Arabidopsis thaliana: one gene and its partners. The protein of the gene in region 1 purifies or fractionates together with the protein of each later gene. This does not show direct contact. Each region holds a gene or a part of one and is shown in the gene's direction. Other genes may lie near its edges. The genes, in order: AT1G12530, HCF173, SDG25 and AT1G09200.

The links.
Region 2: the proteins of AT1G12530 (region 1) and HCF173 purify together in Arabidopsis thaliana (affinity purification with mass spectrometry, with the first as the bait; one study listed by BioGRID). This does not show direct contact.
Region 3: the proteins of AT1G12530 (region 1) and SDG25 purify together in Arabidopsis thaliana (affinity purification with mass spectrometry, with the first as the bait; one study listed by BioGRID). This does not show direct contact.
Region 4: the proteins of AT1G12530 (region 1) and AT1G09200 fractionate together in Arabidopsis thaliana (co-fractionation; one study listed by BioGRID). This does not show direct contact.

Annotation. Positions count from the first base shown.
Region 1 is NC_003070.9:4,267,819-4,272,741, reverse strand, and holds AT1G12530 (uncharacterized protein), read left to right. Parts: upstream 1-1,834; 5' UTR 1,835-1,970; coding exon 1,971-2,081; intron 2,082-3,053; coding exon 3,054-3,169; intron 3,170-3,265; coding exon 3,266-3,620; 3' UTR 3,621-3,756; downstream 3,757-4,923. Other genes in the region: CCS (copper chaperone for SOD1), read left to right, coding at 3,842-4,078, 4,187-4,213, 4,295-4,367, 4,465-4,599, 4,902-4,923.
Region 2 is NC_003070.9:5,720,693-5,727,138, forward strand, and holds HCF173 (high chlorophyll fluorescence phenotype 173), read left to right. Parts: upstream 1-2,198; 5' UTR 2,199-2,468; coding exon 2,469-3,038; intron 3,039-3,131; coding exon 3,132-3,344; intron 3,345-3,446; coding exon 3,447-3,651; intron 3,652-3,748; coding exon 3,749-3,824; intron 3,825-3,984; coding exon 3,985-4,120; intron 4,121-4,204; coding exon 4,205-4,309; intron 4,310-4,433; coding exon 4,434-4,514; intron 4,515-4,616; coding exon 4,617-4,706; intron 4,707-4,844; coding exon 4,845-4,910; intron 4,911-4,976; coding exon 4,977-5,210; coding exon of another isoform or gene 5,211-5,228; exon of another isoform or gene 5,229-5,255; intron 5,256-5,358; coding exon 5,359-5,406; intron 5,407-5,484; coding exon 5,485-5,556; downstream 5,557-6,446. Other genes in the region: HAC12 (histone acetyltransferase of the CBP family 12), read left to right, coding at 1-353, 537-754, 976-1,090; UP6 (uncharacterized protein), read right to left, coding at 5,925-6,068, 6,156-6,446. UniProt on the Arabidopsis thaliana protein: Auxiliary factor required, together with HCF244, for the biogenesis of photosystem II (PSII), especially for the synthesis of the reaction center proteins (e.g.
Region 3 is NC_003076.8:16,957,860-16,963,786, reverse strand, and holds the start of SDG25 (SET domain protein 25), read left to right. Parts: upstream 1-2,541; 5' UTR 2,542-2,725; exon of another isoform or gene 2,726-2,729; intron 2,730-3,084; exon of another isoform or gene 3,085-3,088; 5' UTR 3,089-3,115; coding exon 3,116-3,285; intron 3,286-3,372; coding exon 3,373-3,979; intron 3,980-4,080; coding exon 4,081-4,197; intron 4,198-4,471; coding exon 4,472-4,762; intron 4,763-4,850; coding exon 4,851-5,201; intron 5,202-5,306; coding exon 5,307-5,564; intron 5,565-5,698; coding exon 5,699-5,927. UniProt on the Arabidopsis thaliana protein: Histone methyltransferase involved in regulation of flowering time. Required for the expression of the flowering repressors FLC and MADS-box genes of the MAF family. Required for histone H3 dimethylation on 'Lys-36' H3K36me2 at the FLC locus.
Region 4 is NC_003070.9:2,970,430-2,974,587, reverse strand, and holds AT1G09200 (Histone superfamily protein), read left to right. Parts: upstream 1-2,253; 5' UTR 2,254-2,455; coding exon 2,456-2,866; 3' UTR 2,867-3,017; downstream 3,018-4,158. Other genes in the region: CRT1b (calreticulin 1b), read left to right, coding at 481-548, 634-729, 823-870, 1,032-1,061, 1,146-1,262, 1,360-1,371; AT1G09195 (Ppx-GppA phosphatase), read left to right, coding at 3,131-4,158. UniProt on the Arabidopsis thaliana protein: Core component of nucleosome. Nucleosomes wrap and compact DNA into chromatin, limiting DNA accessibility to the cellular machineries which require DNA as a template.

The DNA of each region.
Region 1 (4,923 bases):
CTATTCGAAAGATACGATTGAGTGAGTGATACTAATACTAAACGATTAGATTTATTTCGAAGGTGTGCATTTTAAACGATTTAACTTGAGCTGTACATTTAGTGGCTATTTATTAGGGAATATATATTGTTACGCAAAACATGCAACTTACATTTAAAATGTGCTTTATTCATATATTTTGTTTCATCCGACACTAGGTTCTTGAAATGATTTTAACTTTCAGTTTATTGAGCCAAAATAGTTTCAGTTAGTTTCTTAACTCCTATGTTATGTAAATACTGATTTTTTAAAAAATTCACACATATCAAAAAACAATGACTAGTTCTTAACAATACATACATCATTTAATTTTCATATACAAAACACTTTCTACTATTAGTAACTGTATAGAAAATCTAAAACAAATGAAAATCATCCAATATATAAAAAAGTACTTCTTGTCGATTAATCGATTTAGTTCATAGTAATTTTCAGGTTACCAATTTGTATTATAAAGAGAAAGTGTTGTCATTTATATAGTTTACCATAGATGCCGAAATACATTATTTAATTCTTCAGGCCGCCTAGCCTAGGATAAAAACATATAATGATAGACCTATATTTTATATTATTTTGGTCGACGAAAAAGTTGGTATATTAAGATTTATGTCAATTTCAAGCAAAAGTTAAATAATTATTTATATTAAAATAGCACTAAGAAAATGATTTTTTTTTCTCTAGACATGATTGCATGGCATCTAAGTAAACGATTCGTAACATTACATATCGAATTATCGATTATACTTTTTCGGGACAAAGACCCAGTATACTAAATACTTATGAGCACGTAGCAAAACTGATCGTTGTTGGTTAATTATAAATCACAGAAACTTTATACGGTCATACCAGAACATTTAATTTACTTTATTTTGTGGTACTCTTGTTTTAAGAGATTGGATTTGGTCATAATCGGTTAAAAATTAAGCGTATAGTCATATAGATATGTGTAGTCACGAATAAAAAACAATCACTTCTTCTCATTTAAATGTCCTTGGAAGTGAACTCTCAGTTATTTTCTCTCTTTAGAACCATGTTTTTCGATCTTCCTATACAAACTCATCTCAAATTTCGAACTATGTTTTTCTATTTTGCTTTTGTTGTGTCTTACAAGTTCAACGTTATCTAATTTATATAAATGTCTGAAGTCTTGAACAATAAGACCTACCAAAAAGATAATGGTCGATTACGTTAATTACATGAAGATCATGAAATGTTGGAGTACATGAGAGTCCTAAAAAATACAATCGGTTACTTTTGTATCTTAAAGGATTTATTTATTTATATATCCTCGATTAAGAACGATTTCAATATTCCAAATTCTTCATATAGGGGGCAAATTAGAGTCTAATTAATTTCGAAGGATGATGTGGACACTTGAAAGATACCAAATTTTGCAATAATTGGTGGATTTTAATGAATTAAAGGGAATAGATATTGGGGTCAGGATTAGGTCTGACTTTCATCTTATGGTCCATTTGAACTTGTTCCATATAACAACATAATCGTGTCGTGTGTCATGATTATGATTATGAAGTGCTTTGTGCATGAACATGGTGGTGACCATGTTGGCAATTATGTTAAATGAACATATATACATCAACATTCAGCAAAGGTCACTCGTAAAATATAAACGTGAATGAAGACGAACAAACTATAATTTTACAAGTGGATCGGTTCAAACACAAGAGTTTAAAAGTTAAATTTACTAATTACAAAAGAAAAATAGATAAGGAATATTGTTAAAACTATAAAATAGCTAATTAACTATTCAATTATGGTTTAATTTGTGATTTGTAGATCCATGATGCATCATGAAGCCCTGACAATTTAAATAGATGCAAACAAAATTATTGATTTTATTAAATACGACTTTTTGAAAAAAATAAAAGGAAAGAAATAGAAAATCCAGAGGAAGGAAGGAAGAGTGAGAGATGATGGGTATGGCGAGGAAGATAAGCAAAGAGGAAGTTGTAGAGAAGCTTAAGGACGACGGAGATTTTGATCGTCTCCGTCTCAAAATCATTCGCCGCCTCAAAGAAAACGTAAGCCCTCTTTCTCTTTCTCCGTCGTCTTCGCATTGCACATCGTGTGTTTTTCTTTCCTTGCTCCTCTAATTAGGGTTCATATTCTCTCGATTCCCAGTACATTCGTGGCTTTGTTAGGACCAGTGATAATGATTAGTCGATTTTGATTGTTTCAAAAGATCATCAAATTGGAATCTTTTGTTAGTTTGACTTGAGTAATAGAGATTTCGATTGAGAATTTGTATAAAGTTTGCTCTTTTGGTTCATATAGACTGAGCCCAATAGTCCTCCATAAATGGTTTTAGGTACTTTCATCAGTAGCTTCTCGGAACTCACTCCAAAAAATTTGATCTTTTCGTTTCGTGTGTACTGTTGTAGTGTTGAAACAAGTGATATGGTTAGTTGTGTGCAAAGATAAGTTTGAGCTTGGTCTCAGGGAAGGTTTGTGTTAATATGGGATTCCTAACAATACCAGTTGTTTAAGATAGGGAAAGTTTGGTCATTTGATTTTGATTTTGGGATAAGTGTATCTGAAGTTGCTTTAGAGGCGTGGAAGTAAGTAAACCATTGATGATTCGGAGAGTTTATCAAGATGCCTTTAGTTTTTCTTAGATGAATCAGATCCTAGGGGAGAGAGTTCTCTTAATGGTGTTAAGCTGTTAGATCACAGCTATAGGCCTACTATAGCTGATTCAGAATTTCAGTATCACTTACTGTGAATTGGTTTGACATCTTACTTATAGCTGGTATAGTGTTCATTGTCTTTGAGGAGTCTTTATACTTATCCATCGAATGGGCATTGTCATTAGCGCAACTTGGTAGAATATTTAGATAAGAGTGAAGGTTACTACTTTCTTAGCCGGAGAAGTTTATGTAAGGCAACAAGGAATTTTCTTTTAACAGTGTTTGATAAACATCTTGAGCTTTGTTCTTCTGGACTGCCTGTGTTTGCATTGTGATCTGACTATTAAAGCGGTTACTGGATTGCAGGAGGATTTACGGAATAATATGATATCAGTTGTCAAGGAGTCAACATCTTTGAAACGACATGGTGCTCAAAATATGAAAACCAGGCAACTCTCTGATGCGATATTCGAAGAAGTCGGGTAAATTAAGAGGGATTTTCTTCTATTCAGCTAACTCCTGTTGTTGTAAATGATTATGACACAAGCGTACTAAATTTTTTGGATTGTTTCCTGTAGGAGCAAGATGCTAAGCCAGCTCTCAGATGGTTTATGGGGGATAATAAGATCAGAAGACGGGATGAAGAATGAAATCAGAGAAACCGTTCAATCCGTCTACGCCACATTATCTAACCCGAGAGGCGAGAAACGCGGAACATCCGCTAGAGAAATGGAACATAAGATTCCAACACCAAAAAAAGAAGCAAGAACTGATTTCAACACCAGTCCAGCGAGTAAACAGAAGCAAGAGCTGATTAAAGGAGCTGTAGAAGATAACAAAGGAGAGGCATGTAGTGATGATGTACAAGATAACAAAGGAGAAGCATATAATGATGATGAAGAAGATCCTGAACTCCCTCCTGGCTTTGGCTAAAACTGTTTTTTGTATCATCAATAAACTCCCTCTGAAATATTATTGCGTTTAAGGTAATAACACCAACTGTTTGTAATAACAACAGAATTACTGCACATTAATTTACCAAAGTAATAGTGATCCCCAGATTAACCGATTTATTTTTTAATTAAAAATGATAAAATTTAAAGGTTGTTGAAAGGTCAGAAATAAAAAGCCGCAAAAACTGAAGAAGCAAGATAATGGCATCAATTCTCAGGTCAGTGGCAACGACTTCAGCCGTCGTAGCCGCCGCCTCTGCGATTCCCATCGCGATCGCCTTCTCTTCTTCTTCTTCTTCTTCCTCTACCAACCCCAAATCTCAATCTCTCAATTTCTCCTTCCTCTCCCGATCGTCTCCACGTCTCTTGGGACTTTCACGAAGCTTCGTTAGCTCTCCGATGGCGACTGCTCTCACTTCTGATCGTAATCTCCATCAGGTTTTGGTTTAAAGCTTTGAACTTTTGAAATACCCTATTTCCAATTTGAGCTTTTTCGCTTTCCTGATTCGATGATTAAGTATTTAAGTAGCTGAATTTGATTTGCAGGAGGATCGAGCCATGCCTCAGCTTCTTGTAAGTCTTTCTCGTAATCCTGTATCTTTATACAACAATTTTTGGATTTGAGCTAGTGAGAACTTGTGTTGTGTGTTCCAGACTGAGTTTATGGTGGATATGACATGTGAGGGTTGTGTTAATGCTGTGAAGAACAAATTAGAAACCATTGAAGGTAGTAGGAGAAACAACTTTATTAATCGTCGTCTGTTTGGTTATGATTTACTTTGTTGGTGCTTATTATGTGTAATGGAAATTTTTAATCTTGTAAGGTATTGAGAAAGTGGAGGTGGATTTGTCCAATCAAGTTGTGAGGATACTTGGATCTTCCCCTGTTAAGGCTATGACTCAAGCTTTGGAGCAAACTGGTCGAAAAGCTCGCTTAATTGGACAAGGTGTTCCTCAAGGTTAGATATCTCTTCTCGGGTCACTTTGGTTTTTGTTTGAGAAGAAAGATTTGAACATCAAAAGAAAGAAGATATATTTTCTCAGCTCATAGAACATGTAAGGAGTACATGGCTTGTGTTTATGTTTAGTTCAACATTAAGAAGATTTACGTACTGGCAATTTTCCATTCTTGAGCTACTCTTTAATACACTGACAGTATTGAATTTGAGGATTTACCGTTTCAATTCCACGGTTTGTCTTTCATTGATGACCTCTTTCCTCATTTGTTTTATGATATTTACTTTGTGATGTGTTTTGGCAGATTTCTTAGTCTCAGCTGCAGT
Region 2 (6,446 bases), 1.5 Mb from region 1:
ATGAGATACTTGAAAGTGAATTCTTTGATACAAGGCAAGCATTCCTGAGTCTATGTCAAGGGAACCATTATCAGTATGATACACTGAGGCGGGCAAAACATTCTTCCATGATGGTGCTTTATCATCTGCATAATCCTACTGCTCCTGCCTTTGTGACAACATGTAACGTATGTCACCTCGATATTGAAAGTGGTCTAGGCTGGCGCTGTGAAGTTTGCCCAGACTATGATGTGTGCAATGCTTGTTACAAGAAAGAGGGTTGTATTAATCATCCTCATAAGTTAACAACTCATCCATCTCTAGCTGATCAAAACGCTCAGAATAAAGAAGCTAGGCAATTGCGAGTCTTGCAGGTACTGTAATATTCAGTTTTTTGTTGTTGTTGTTGTGCATGGTAGATCCTCTTGAAAAAACTGCCTCTTCTTCTCTTGCTTTAGGCTTCTTCTGATTTGAGAAAACAATTGGGCTTTGTTAGGTCATATAGCTCCCACAATGTATCTGAAGTGCTAAAGTTTTCATTTATCTAAAATATGCAGCTCAGGAAAATGCTCGATCTTCTGGTGCATGCGTCGCAATGCCGTTCTCCAGTTTGTCTATATCCCAACTGCCGCAAAGTGAAGGGGCTATTCCGACATGGTCTCCGCTGCAAAGTACGTGCTTCAGGAGGTTGTGTTCTATGCAAGAAAATGTGGTATCTGTTGCAACTCCACGCTCGGGCCTGCAAGGAATCCGAGTGTGATGTACCTCGATGCGGGTAATCTCTTTAACTTCTGTCCCTGTCTAACATTTTGCAATCGATCTCTTAACGGGATCATTCAGTATTTGCCTTTTCTTTCAACAAGTAAAAACGTAAAATTGAAAGTAAAAACGACATTTTTGGATATATTAGAACCGGGGCATAACATATGGCAAAGCTTTTTTGAAAAAAATGGTCCGCATGATTTGTATTGATCATTGTAAATCTTCTCAATTCAGGGACCTAAAGGAACATCTGAGAAGGTTACAACAGCAATCAGATTCTAGGCGGAGAGCTGCCGTCATGGAGATGATGAGACAGAGAGCTGCAGAAGTCGCTGGAACCTCGGGTTGATTAATTTTTGTAAATACTAATTTCATTTAGGATCTAAGCAGAAGTGGAAATGTAATCTTCTTCCGAAGGTTAAGAAGATAAAAGAAACTGGTGTTTATGATCTCCACTTGAAGAAGGTGAAGAAAAAGTGAATAACAGCAGCTAGTGAAGACATGAAACAGCCATATAACGATTTAATTTAGATGGATTCCTATTTAACAGTCGCAAGTCGTGGAGTGATGATGATGAATAACTTGAGTGACTTGAAGAGTTTCTCAGCTTAAGTGCCAATTGAAGCAGAAGAATCGTCGTAGATGCTAACTTATGCTGTGTGTAAGGTCGCGAAAAGGAAGAAATGAGATTCCAGACTCTTCGATTAGTTCAGTGGCTTGATCTGGCTGGTGATTCTTTGACTATACATATATTACTCTGTGACTGATTACTGTCTTCTACCTCTCCGTCTTTTTTTTGTAGTCTGGTACAATTTGTAAAATAGCTTATATCCCTTTGGGGGATGTGGCAGGAATGTAATATATATACATATAAATAGATAACTTGCTAGATAAGTAAGAAAGATGAAGTGTGTCTCTTTAAGGATGTTTCCTTCTCTTACATTTTTGGGCGAACTTGTATTAACATTTTAGTATCGTTTCATTGAATTAGGTTTTGGATTAATAAGGTAAACGTTATCACGACACTGCTACCTTTTCTAAATTTGTGTAGTTTTGTAATGCAAATGCTATTGTTAGGCTGTTAGCTCCAAGTCATAATTCATAATCTAATATTTGCTTTGGAATCCTTGTTATTGCATTGGCCTTTGTGACCATTGCTGCAATAAGGGTCACAGTTGCTTCCAATTCCCATCACCAATAGAATCGTGCAGGAAGGAGAAGCCAACGCAGCTTCCTTAACGCTTGAAATATACAGATATGAAATTTTATGGAATTATTATATAGTTGGAACTTGGAATGAAATTTTCTTGTTTGTTTCTCCAAAAAAAAAAAAGGTGAAGAAGTATATTTTTTTTTTTAAAAAAAAGAAGAGGAAAAGAGAGAGTGTACGTGGCTAGTTAATTGGCTCATAAGTCATATCACTGTCCGAAAACACATAAACCAGATTCTGTGGTCTTCTTCTTCTCTCCTTCTTTCCGAAATGTCAAAATCCTCCGATCCAACCATTTCTTATTCTTCTCTATTTTCTCTTAACGACAAAAAAAAACTTGAAAAATCTCACTTTCGTTATCCATTCCCAATTTCGACCAAGAGTGTTCTCAATGACAGTCTAGCATGCAAATAAGATTCATTTAACAAACAATTGTATGCATTTAGTATAATTTTATCCAAAAAATTTATTTTCAAAATTGTGTCTTTGAGCTCTGTTTGTGTAGCAGAGTTCAAAAATGGTGGGTAGTATTGTTGGCAGTAACATGGCTGCGACTGATGCGAGGTTTCTAAGCTCGAATTTTGGCAACAGTTTCAGCATCAACACCAGAATTCACAGATTCCATGATCGCTCCCAAATCGTAATCCCTAGGGCTCAATCTTCTTCTTCTCCGTCTCCATCTCCACCCTCCGACAAGAAGAAGACCAAAACCCGACCCGGAACCATAACCACTAAGGAGAGCGAAGAGACGGTTGCGAAGAAGCTCGACGTTGCTCCGCCTTCGCCTCAATCACCACCGTCTCCGCCTACACTGAAGTTGGACGATGTGAATCCTGTGGGATTAGGACGACGATCGCGGCAGATCTTCGACGAGGTGTGGCGGAAATTCTCTGGATTAGGTCAGATGTCGAGGACAACCCGACCCGATGAGCAAGAGACTCTTGATAGTCTACTCATTAGAGAAGGACCTATGTGTGAGTTTGCTGTTCCCGGCGCTCAAAACGTTACCGTTTTAGTCGTCGGAGCTACTAGTAGAATCGGTCGTATCGTTGTCCGTAAACTCATGCTCCGTGGCTACACCGTCAAGGTTCAAAAAATGCTGATTTTTATAATATAAAGTAGTATTGGTGTGTTTATGCAAATGCTTTAGAGTTTTAAGAGATTTGAGGTTACCGTTTAGGCACTGGTGAGGAAACAAGATGAGGAAGTGATGAGTATGTTGCCAAGGTCAGTGGATATTGTTGTTGGAGATGTGGGTGAACCGTCAACGCTCAAATCCGCTGTTGAAAGCTGCAGCAAGATCATCTACTGTGCGACTGCTCGGTCTACGATTACTGCAGACCTTACGCGGGTTGATCACTTGGGTGTTTATAACCTCACCAAGGCTTTTCAGGTATAGTAAGATTTGTCCATGACTCAACCGTGGTTAATTTGGTTTCTTGTTTTGTTGAGCAGAGAGTAGTTTATTCATGTGTGTCGTTTTGAGTATTTGCAGGATTACAATAACAGACTAGCGCAATTAAGGGCGGGTAAAAGCAGCAAAAGCAAGCTTCTATTAGCTAAGTTCAAGTCAGCTGAGTCACTTGATGGTTGGGAAATTCGTCAAGGAACTTACTTTCAGGACACAACCGCTTCCAAATATGATGGTGGGATGGATGCTAAGTTTGAGTTCACTGAAACTGAGAGAGCTGAGTTTTCAGGTACACATTATCTTTCCGGAGAATATGGCAATTGCCAAAGTTTTTTCCTTTGATGTATATTTTGAGGTATAGTGGTTTAATCAGTTTTCAAATGCAGGTTATGTTTTCACCCGAGGAGGATATGTTGAGTTGTCGAAGAAACTTTCACTTCCATTGGGTACCACTCTTGACAGGTATTGCGCGATTTCGTATCAACTTACTCTCAGCTTGTTCTGTGAAATGATTCAATGATAGAAACTTAGAGAAAGGAGTATTAAATGAAATTTCTAACACCTCCTGAAACTCATTTAGCCTTATAGCTTCTTTTATATGCTTATGCTTTTATATCAATAGGTACGAAGGCTTAGTTCTTTCTGTTGGTGGGAATGGAAGATCCTATGTTGTAATCCTTGAAGCTGGTCCATCATCAGATATGTCTCAGAGCAAACAGTATTTCGCTAGGATCAGTACCAAAGCAGGGTTTTGTCGGGTATATAAAGCATCATCGGTCTTACTCATTAGTCTGACCCCTTTTCCGTTATTTTTTTGGCTAAAACTTTGGTTCCTTGGGCAGGTAAGGGTGCCATTTTCAGCTTTTCGACCGGTCAACCCAGAAGATCCACCGCTAGATCCATTTCTTGTTCACACATTGACAATACGCTTTGAGCCTAAAAGACAGGTTTGCTTACTCTTTTCAAAGCTTCAGCAGTTGGTTTTGCGGATTGATCTGTGTGATCATTAACCGAAAACTTTCATTCGTTGGTGTCTGAGTTAGCAATCTCTTGGGGTTTTTCCTCTTTCAGAGGCCTGTTGATGGACTTGCTGGTGCGCAACAAGATTTGAGAAGTTTTAGCCTTGTATTTGAGTACATAAAAGCTTTGCCTGTAAGTACTCCCAACTTAATGTCTACTTACTGAAGATTATCACCTGAAAGAACGGAAAAAAAAAACAGATACATCATCAGCTTCCTGCATTTTTGTCTGCAGGCGGGTCAAGAAACAGACTTTATTCTGGTATCGTGTACTGGTTCGGGAGTAGAAGCCAACAGAAGGGAGCAAGTGTTGAAAGCTAAGAGGGTAAGTCCATTTTGTCTTACACATCATAATAACTCTTGAATCTTTCGAGGCTATGGATTGTCAGGGCTTTTGTGCCAGTAGGTTCCATCTTTTCACATCTCTATCTCCTTCTCTCTTGATGTCCGCTAAATTTGTTAGGCTGGTGAAGATTCTTTAAGGAGATCAGGCCTTGGATACACAATCATTCGTCCTGGTCCCTTGAAGGTAATGTTCTTTGAGCTCCAGCCATATTGTATATATATGGCTCTGAATACATATTTTCTGATATAGGAGGAACCAGGCGGGCAACGAGCTCTGATATTTGATCAAGGAAACAGAATTTCTCAGGTTATTTCAATCACGAAAAACAAACTCAAGCCACCTAGCAAAAGTTCTCTGATGGAGCCACTTATAACTTCCCAATGCGCTATTTTCTTTCAATTTCAGGGCATTAGTTGCGCGGATGTGGCTGATATATGTGTCAAGGCACTGCACGATTCAACCGCCAGAAACAAAAGCTTTGATGTGAGTTGCAGTTTATAGAGAAACAACTGAGAAAGAATCAATCTTTGACCCTTTTCAAGAACCAAAACTAAGAAAGATTCAATCTTTGATCTATAAAGAAGAAATCACATCATGGATCTCTCAAATTTCTTCCATTTGGTTTTTACAGGTTTGCCATGAATACGTTGCTGAGCAAGGAATAGAACTCTATGAGCTGGTAAAAGAGTAAACAATCACTTGCAATAAGAGTCACATCTACATCATTACATCATCTGATAGTGTTTGTCTCTTTCAGGTGGCTCATTTGCCAGACAAGGCGAACAACTATCTGACTCCGGCTTTATCTGTACTTGAGAAGAACACATGAGAAGAAGAATCATTGATTCCATTTTGTATATTGTACACATCTCAAGCTCTGATACGCATTACATGCATATATACATACGTACATGTATAACTTGTACATACAAGAATCTCTTTGGTCTCTTTATGTCCATTACCATTTATTTCTTATATTCAACTTAAAATTTGTGTGCTAATACAAACAATCCAAGGCCACCAACATAATAAAAAGGGTGTGAAACCCAGTTTTCTATTACACAAAACTCATAATATTTTGAATGATAAACATAAAAAGTATCTTCATTCATTATAAGTAAACATTGAAACTTCAGAAGATCTCAGACTTTGTCTTATTTATCTCAGATAGTCATGAAGGCGTACGACACAAACCCATCAAAGCTTGGAGAAAGGTTTGGCGAGAGAGCTGAAAAACGAAGATGTCGGAGAAACAAACGGCAACTTTCCGGAGCTTTCTTTTGACTTGCTCTCATCTTCTTCCTCTCCGTCAATGGCTTCTTTCTCAGCATCGTCCACTATCTGCTCCGTCAAAAGTAAATTCACAAGTCAGCCAAAAAAGAGTCCAAATTAGTTTACCCGGTGGACCAATTGTTTTTAAAACTAAACCTTTTCGGTGACGGCAGGAGAAACAGACGGAACAATAACAGCGAGCTGAGTTTTAATCCGGTGCAACGCGTCTTTCGTCATACCCTGCGCCGCTCCGGCGAAATCCTTAATGGCTCCTTCCAAAAACTGTTTAGCGTTTTCAAGCGACTCAGATGGAACCGAAGCAGCCGATAGTTTTTCTAACACTTTATCCTTAACCGCCGCAAGATTCTTCAGCCCCAACATGATCGTCTTCCTCTGCTTCTCTCCTTCTTCTTCCTCTGATGAGGAATCCACGGAATCAGGGTTCGT
Region 3 (5,927 bases), on another chromosome or scaffold:
TGTAAGATGTGTGGTATAACTGTATAAATAAAGCACATGTCAACAATTAGTTAATGATCATAAATTCATAACAAGATATGATTTATGTGTTCTTAATTATCCTATTCCCTATTTTTCAATTCTCTTTCAAATTTTAAACTCGATTTTTTACATTTACCGAAAACCTAATATTTCTTTGTTAAAAAGATAAATATTGGTCAGTTTTTTTTAAAAAATTGTTTTTTGAAATCTAAAAACCCAACGATATAATGCTGAAATTATCATTTGGATAGATTTGGGACTCTAAACATTTGTAAATATTTTTGATAGCATTAATATAAAATCTGTATCAAAATTTAAGAGTTAAAAAAAAAAAAGACACGAAGTTGGATTCAAAGTCGAAGATTCGTCCCCATTTCTTAACGAAAAATAATGGGAGCTTAAGTGTTTGAAGATGTTTGATAGTGATACGGAAATCAACGTGGAATTGCGTCCTACGAGGACAATTCTTTTGTGAAGCTGAAGAATATTTTAATTACTAGGAAAATAATTGGGATGTTTCGGTGATGTTTTCCTCACCAGATTTGATGTTTGTCGGCGGTGAAAGTTGATATCGGTATATTTTGATGACTCTTCATCTTGTGTTGCAGTTGTAATATCATGTAGACAGTTGTATTGGATAAAGTCAAAATGTCAAAACATCTCTATGCCTAACTTTTATTTCTCCACAAATCGGTGTAGATTTTAAAGTCTTGTTTCTCTTTTAGTGGGTTAGCCAAGCAAAATTTTTTTTTATTTTTGGTGGGTTACTTCATAATACACTTATCAACTCTAGCTAGGTCGATGAGGCTTTCTGTGTGGTAGCTCGGCATCGGCGATCAGATAATTAGAGTTGATAGAGACATTATCGGAGGCTGTGGCACAAGAGCAAACAAGGGCAACTGGCTGCAATACCATTTAAAGAGAGTGACGGGATCCAGGATGGAGAAGGCTAGATGGATCAGGGTTAACCCTTTCGCTGCCATCTTCGTCACCGGTTCGAGCCATGCTGAAATCTGGTGAGGTTGTTGGTCGACTAGGATCACGAAACAACTAGATTCATAGATCTGGACGCATGTGTGAGATTAAGCTCAAGTTCACGCATTTTTACAAATTTGACTTTGAGGAATCTTGGCATGGTGGATCAAGTTTCATCGAAAACAACTATCAGTCTAGAGGACCCGCGCGAATATAAGATTCTGGAAAGTTTGATAAAAGGATATCCAACCACTATAAACCAAAGCAAAGGAAGAACGTCGTGGTGGTCGGGAAGGTGACAAAAAAGAACAAAAAGTTTGCGAAAAGTGGAATAGAGACAAGAGACTAAAAGATGGATAGATACATCTTTACGCCGGCGAGCAAAGACTCCACCAGTATTGAAAAACTGGTTCATGCGGCTGTCCTCGATTATTGAACCTGCGTGAGAGAGTTTTTTTTAGCTCAATACAAAAGTAGATGGTTAATATTTTATTCGACCACTAAATTATTAAGCTGAAAAATAACTCGAGTGAAAAATATGACACATATCAATTACTTTTATAATGTATTGATAAGAAAGATTAAAATATGAAAATCAAATATACTCAATTGCTATAAATCTTTTACCAACTAACAAAGGTTGAAGAATGAAAACTAAAATCTAATTTGACATAGTTAAAAGATATAAAAACGATAATATGAATATTAGATTATTTAAATACCTTATAAAAATAAAATTTTATAAATGATTGGATCGAGTCTCCCCGTAGTGATTACTATCCAAAAGTATCTATAAACTTTATAAACTTTTCATATTCAATTAGGGACATTTTTGAAAATAGACAACTCAATGGAGCATTTTTGAATAATGGGACATCAAAAGAGGCATTTCAATAATTTCAAAAAATATTACTTCTAATTTAAAATATTAAAAATGATCTCACATGTTCCTTGTTAAAAAGAAATTCAAATACACAATATTAAATTTATTTTAGTTTTCATATATTTTATTAGAAAAATAAAATTAAAATGAATAATAGGAAATTTTAGATTAAATCATGACACATGCATGTTGCAATGTAAAATTAGAAACACTATGATATATGAATCTTATATAGAATCTAAAAAAATATGAAAATAAAAATAAAAATTATTAGAATTAATTAAAATAAAATAGAAAATTATAAACACGATTATATATGAATCTACGATAATGCAAAAATAAAAAATGGAAAAATGAAAAAAGTAAGAAATTTAAAATATACAATAATATATTAAGTTAAATATTTACAAAAGGAAGAAGTATATATTGATGCCATATAATTCTAATTGTAAAAAAATCAAATAAACAACATGCAAACTTAATTGAAATCTTCACATATTCTTAACTGACCAAAAATTATAGAAGTATATCATATAAAATTTTAAATTCAATCATGATATATGACAAAATTAAATCATGATACGTACCACTATACTATTAATTAGTAACTTTTTGAATAATAAAAAAATAAGTAAGTAATTGCTAAAAACATTGTAGATCATCCCACAGCTTTTTTCAACGAACCCTAATTGTTATTCTTTTCTTATTTCCTTTTTCAATTTGTTGATAAGAGAAACTTCTTCGTCTTCTATGTCTTCTTCTTCTATGTCTTCTTATCAATTTCAGTTCAATTTGATCACAGTGTCATCGCTTCCTTGAGCTTGCTTCACTTCCCTGAAAATTTTGGTAGGTGTGTTCTTTTTTCCTACCGTACTGTTTCTCCCGAGGTCTGATGTTTTTCCTTTGTGTGTGTTCACGTATCTGGTTCTCTGTTCGATTCAATGTTACAGCTTCTGGGTATCATGCATATTGTCTTCTTTAAGAAATTAGGTTTAAGAAAGACTCGATTTTTTTGCTCTGTAGACAAACTTGGCGATCGTCTTTGCTCCCAGATTTCATAAATGTGTAGTCTTTCTTAGTGTTTCTCTCTGTAATGATTTGGGTACTGTCTCAAATTTAATGACATTGCTTTAAACCCAGTCTAAAAATTGAATATTTGAGAAAGCTTGTATTTTTATTGAAGTTTAATGATCATGTTTTTTCGTGTAGAGAAGATATCTCGAGTTTATCTGTGTCATGGTTGCGGTTGATTCCACTTTTCCTAGCCATGGTAGCTCTTATTCTAGTAGAAGGAAGAAAGTTTCTGCTTTGGAACCGAATTATTTCGGTTCAATGTGTATGGGAGTTTACAGTGATGATGTTTCAATCTCTGCAAGAGAAGTAGCTCAAGATTACTCTTGTGACAGGTGCAACTTGTAGTTAAGTTTTTCGTAGTTGTGAATTAACTAGTTGGATTGTCAATCTAAAAGAAAAACTGTATTTTTGCTTTTCAGCTGTGGTGATTTGGCTACTGTATCTTCCGCTTGTTGCAATTTTGATGAACTGTGTGGTTTGGATTCAGCCTTGGAGATGGGATGTCGTTCAAATGAAGACTGTCGTGCGGGTCAAGAGGCTTCTGGTAGTGGCATAGCTTCAGGTCTAGACAAGAGTGTTCCAGGGTATACCATGTATGCAAGTGGTTGGATGTATGGTAATCAGCAAGGTCAGATGTGTGGCCCTTACACGCAACAGCAGCTATATGATGGGCTATCAACTAACTTCTTACCGGAGGATCTTCTTGTATATCCAATTATCAATGGTTATACTGCAAATTCTGTACCACTTAAGTACTTCAAGCAGTTTCCAGATCATGTCGCTACTGGCTTTGCATATCTACAAAATGGAATAATAAGTGTAGCCCCATCTGTTACTTCATTTCCCCCTTCTAGTAGTAATGCTACAGTCCATCAAGATGAGATTCAAACAGAGCATGCAACTTCTGCTACTCATTTGATCTCCCATCAGACGATGCCTCCACAGACAAGTTCTAATGGTTCTGTTTTAGATCAGCTAACACTAAACCACGAGGAATCAAATATGTTAGCTTCATTCCTCTCATTGGTAACTTCCTTTCAACGGTGAAAACTCAGTTCACAAGTTCATCAGACATGATGGCTCGAGTTCACATAAGAATTTTCTTTAATGTTTGGGTTTTCTGTTAGGGAAACGAACATGCTTGCTGGTTTCTCGTTGATGGTGAAGGTAGAAATCATGGTCCACATTCTATATTGGAGCTTTTTAGTTGGCAGCAGCATGGATATGTTTCAGATGCAGCCCTGGTAAGCTTTTATGAATATAGACTTTTTAAAGATTTTCTGAAAGATTGTGATTAGTTAAATTTCATGCAATTTATAATGATTTTGATCCTGTTGCCTCTTTGTAGCCTTGTGCCTAGCTTTGTTTCTTCATGCATCTTCTTTTCAGTTTTGAGGTTTTTAGTTACTATTTTAGAATACTTGGTTAGAATATATGTTTTCTCCCCTTCTTCTAATGTTTGTGATAGATCAGGCCATCTGGTGTTTATCATTTTGCTTAAGAGTTTTTGTTTTGTAGATACGTGATGGTGAAAATAAGCTTAGACCAATCACATTAGCATCGTTAATTGGTGTATGGAGGGTGAAATGTGGTGATGCTAATTGTGACGAGCCAGTGACTGGCGTGAACTTCATATCCGAAGTTTCGGAAGAACTCTCTGTTCATCTTCAGAGTGGAATAATGAAAATAGCTAGAAGAGCTCTACTCGATGAAATCATCAGCAGTGTGATTTCAGACTTTCTGAAGGCCAAGAAAAGTGATGAGCATCTCAAGTCTTATCCACCCACTTCTGCTGTTGAATCCATATCGGTAGCTCTTTTTATTATACATTGAACTATCAAACTTCAGGGGCTATCATTGAATCATACACTAATATGGTAACTTTTGGTTTGCGCAGTCTCGGGTTATTAATGCGGAGAAAAGTGTTGTCTCAAACACTGAATCTGCAGGCTGTAAGAATACAATGAATGAGGGGGGTCATAGTAGTATAGCTGCAGAGTCGTCCAAATATACTAAATCTGTTGGAAGCATTGAGAACTTTCAGACATCTTGCTCAGCTGTGTGTAGAACGCTTCACCACCATTGCATGCAAATCATGTGGAATGCAGTCTTTTATGATACTGTGGCAACTCATTCATCATGTTGGAGAAAGAACAAAATTTGGTTTCGGTCTTCTGATATCTCGACTGTTAATTACTGCAAAGGTTCCCATACAAAGTATTCAGACAAACCTGAATCATTTGAGAGTGTGAGCTTATAAAAAGTTTCTATGACTTTAATAGATTAAGTGTCATTTTTTTCTAATTAGCTTTGCTCATCAATGAAATGAATTGTCATTTTTAATGTTTTGCAGTTTACTTGTAGGGTGGATTCCTCTTCCTCTAAAACTGCTTACTCTGATGAATTCGACTTAGCTACCAATGGAGCCAGAGTTCGTGGATTGTCATCAGATACTTATGGAACGGAAAGTGTCATAGCAAGCATCTCAGAACATGTTGAAAATGAACTCTTTCTGTCTCTTAAAACTCACCTAACTGATTATACTAGTATTCTCATTAAAGATGGAGCGAATAATACTACTAGTAGTGCACGAGATGGCAAAATGCATGAGGTAAGGAGACAAAATCTCCTTGTTTGGCAATTTTTAGAAGTTTTCTAAGGGAAAAGCTATCCTTTCTCGTTCTGCCATCTTTGCCATATGCTAGCAAGTGGGGGCTGAATTCAAATTGTTTCAAATTGCTGCAGGAAAACCCGCCATCTCTTCAGGGTTCCTTCCGTGAGCAGTATAATTTGGAAGGGTCTAGTAAAAAGAAGAATGGCTTAAATGTGGTTCCTGCTAAGTTGCGGTTTTCCAATGATTTCAGTGATTCTCAGAGACTGTTGCAAGAGGGAGAATCCTCCGAGCAAATCACATCTGAAGATATTATTGCTAATATTTTTAGTACAGCATTGGAGACATCAGATATTCCTGTTA
Region 4 (4,158 bases), 1.3 Mb from region 1:
TATCCATGTTGCATGTAATTTGTGGTTCAACTTCTGTTCTTTGTTGTTTGATGGTCGTTTCTGGTATGCCTAAATCTTCTCCAGTTAGATTTCTCTTGACTAAGTAGAAGGACTATCTAAGTCTAAGGCCTAAGGGTTCATTTAAACTCAAATGCTGAAGTAATCCTTTACTTCCAAAAGGTTTATTGGCGTCTCTATGTTTAGTGGTTTAACCTATTAAATAGAAACATGTTTGTAACTAACCTGGTTTTTCTTTTATCTTCTCTATCATTAAATCCATGGTCACACCAGTTTGACACATTTAGTAATCTATATCTTTTGTTCACCTTTATTTACACTTTTATATCATGTTCATTTGGATGTAACTGTAGAACTCGCAACTTTTTGTTTTTTATGCTTGCATTAACTTACATGAAAATTTAGCTCTCTTAGACATAATAATAAACAATTAGTGTGCCTAAAATAAACTGATTACCGCAGACTTCAAGGATGACCCAGAGCTCTACGTCTTCCCCAAGCTGAAATATGTTGGACTCGAATTGTGGCAGGTAAATAAATCTTTGTCACTTTGAATGACCTTCGAAGATATGCTTTATTCCCATGACTCTCATCTAATACATGTTACTCTTCCAGGTGAAATCAGGATCATTGTTCGACAATGTCTTGATCTGCGATGACCCAGACTATGCCAAGAAGTTGGCAGATGAAACATGGGGAAAGCTCAAGGATGTAGGTGTTTAAAATACCCAATTTCATAACACAGTTTTTTTTTTTTTGTTTCTGGTTACTGATCAGAATATCCAATCTAATATCACATTGCAGGCGGAGAAAGCAGCTTTCGATGAGGCTGAGAAGAAGAATGAGGAAGAGGTAAATATCTCTCCTAATTATTTAGCTTAATTCATTTGAATCTCTCTAAAACAAGTAGTTTGGACTTTTGTGGAGTTTCTACTGCCAATTATGTAATTGTTGTAACCAAGTTGGGAATAGATAATCTAAGACGGCATTCTCCTTTTTCTGTGTTGATACAGGAATCCAAGGACGCACCTGCGGAATCTGATGTAAGCACTTGTGAAGGATCAAATTTTTTAGAGTCTTGTTTGTTTCTGTCAAGGTCCTAATATTATATGTGATATAAATTCCAGGCTGAAGACGAACCAGAGGATGATGAAGGAGGAGATGATTCCGATTCTGAATCTAAGGCCGAGGAGACCAAATCAGTAGATAGCGAGGAAACCTCTGAGAAAGACGCCACCGCTCATGTATGCTACCACAATATCACTTGGAGAAATTTCACTCATCCATAATTTTGTTGTTTTCCTTGAGTTGTGGTTAAAACTGCGTGATTTGGTTTTGCAGGATGAGCTATAGGTGAAAGGTTGAAGATTTGAAGACCAAAGTTTTCAGTCTCTTTATTGTTTTATCGTTTTCTTTTGAAGTATTTTAGCATCTAGTTTGTCGGAGATAGAAACAAGTTTTAGCAAAACTAAAAGGGGGATACAATGTCTGTCAGATGCTCATTTTAGACTTTAAAAAACCATGAAGAAGTTTTGCAGTTGCTTCTCTTTCTCTACTCTTGTTTCTCTGCTAAGCCAATGTCCGCCAAAATCGGATTCTGGTGTATTCGTTCACTGCTCCCCACCCTTTGAGAATTTGTTGTTAGTCTCTTGTCAGTCAATACAGACCACCAAGTCCATAATCCAACAGTCCAACGTCCCTGCAAGTTGATTGATACTAGAGTAGTAGTAATGTAGAATGTCTTTCACTTTCCAAACAATTTCCACATTGTCTATACACTTATACTGGGTTCACTTCCATTGTGAAGACAGATGTTGAGATAACAAAAATTATATAGAGATAATTGTACCCCAACCACAGATGCTTAGAACGCTAGAGAACGAATGCAGTGCAATCTTTGTTTTACCTTAACCTTAGACAGCAATATTTTAATTCATGATGTCATTCTCAAAAGATGAAGTCACAATCTTTATACAAAACAGCGTCCTAGCATATTGAGATGGTATTTAAGCCCAGAAAAAGCTGATTGAGAACCAAAAAAAGAAAAACAATTACGCAGGCCCTATTAAGTAATGGGCTTGGTTTTTTGGTAAAGATAATATATTTAGATTATTTCTTTTATTTCTATTGGTCTTCGTACCTTCACGCGGATCAGTGTTAGAAAAGAATGAAATCTGTCCGTAGAATTGTATTAATCTACGGTTGCTGTGATTTCACGCGGATCGTGATAGAAACCTCTTATATCCGTTGATTAAAAACCAATGAACGATCCAGATCTAATCCCGCTGAAAAAGAAAAGCGAAATATTTTCCCTCCCACTTCTTGTAATTTCCAGACGATAAATATCCCCTTCCTCAATCGAAACAAACTATCCAGATCTCAACTTTCTCTCATCTTCAAATTAAAATCAAACAGTTTCTTAATAACATTTTACTTCATGGCTCGTACCAAGCAGACGGCTAGGAAATCAACCGGAGGAAAGGCTCCAAGGAAGCAGCTGGCGACAAAAGCGGCGAGGAAATCTGCTCCGGCCACCGGAGGAGTGAAGAAGCCACACAGATTCAGACCCGGAACTGTTGCTTTAAGAGAAATCAGGAAGTACCAGAAGAGCACTGAGCTTCTTATCCGTAAACTCCCTTTCCAGAGGCTTGTCAGAGAGATCGCTCAGGACTTCAAAACCGATCTTCGTTTCCAGAGCAGTGCCGTCGCCGCTCTTCAGGAAGCTGCTGAAGCTTACCTCGTCGGACTCTTCGAAGACACCAATCTCTGCGCCATTCACGCCAAGAGGGTCACGATCATGCCCAAGGACATCCAGCTCGCGAGAAGAATCAGAGGAGAACGAGCTTAGATCTAAGTATTCTGGTTACTCTTGTGTTTTGATTAGAACCATAAGATTGTAAAATTTCAAGTTAAATCCAAGGGTTATAATATTAATTCCAAGCAATTATCTTTTGTTCTATCAAAGTATTGACTTTTTAGTTGACTTTATTAATCACTAATTGTTTGGTTAATTTGTGCTAGTTCACAACTCATTATAGTCTCACAAATTAATCAGCTTTGACGCTGAAATTGTTGTGAAGATCATTGTTAATTAGTTGTGATTCGATCGAAGATGAACTCCAATCTGCTATCGAATCCTATATCATCGGAGGTCTTCACCTCCATTGATTTGGGAACAAATTCTTTCAAGCTTCTAATAGTCCAAGCTGAGCCTTCCGGTAGATCTTTCGTTCCAATCGAGAGACTCAAAGAGCCAGTGGTGTTGTCTCGTGAATCTCCAACCTCAATTTCGTCTCAATCTCAGGCTCGCGCGCTTCAATCTCTACGGAAATTCAAAAGTTTAATTCTCTCGCACCACGTCTCTGGTGATAGGATCCGATGCGTTGCAACGGAAGCCTTACGGCGAGCCGAGAATCAGGAAGAGTTCGTGGATGCGGTTTTTGAGGATGTTGGGCTTAAGGTCGATGTGCTTTCTGGTGAAGAGGAAGCCAGGTTAGTTTATTTAGGCGTGCTTCAGTTTTTACCTGTGTTTGAGAAATCAGTGTTGTGTGTTGATATTGGAGGTGGTTCTACTGAATTTGTGGTTGGTAAGTGTGGTGATGTCAAGCTTGCTGTTTCTTTAAAGCTAGGTCACGTGAATTTGACGCAGATGTTTATGAAAAATGGTATTGGATTGAAGGAAATGAGAGACTATATTCGTCATGCGATTGATGAGTCTAGGTTAGCAGAAAAATTGAATGAATCAGATGGTTTTGAGGTTGTTGTGGGATCTTCTGGAACTATACGAGCTATTGAGAATGCAGTTTTCAGTGGCTATGGAGCTGATTTGTGTGATTTCAATTTGGAAGGGTATAAGAGGGACTGGAGATTTGGTACAAGAGAGCTGAGCAGCGTTGTAGCAAAGCTATGCAGTGAAGGAGACGAAGAGCTGATTCGAAGGGAGGGATTTTTCAAGAGAAGATCAGAGTTCATTGTTGCTGGGGCTGTATTGTTGGAGGAAATATTCAAGGCTCTTGGCATAGAGGACATGGAGGTCTCAGAGTATGCATTGGCAGAGGGTGTGATTGCTGATTCTCTGGCCAAAGCTTTTGATGGATCATATGATTTAAATGCTAATGCAAGATGGCGATCGGTCATGAG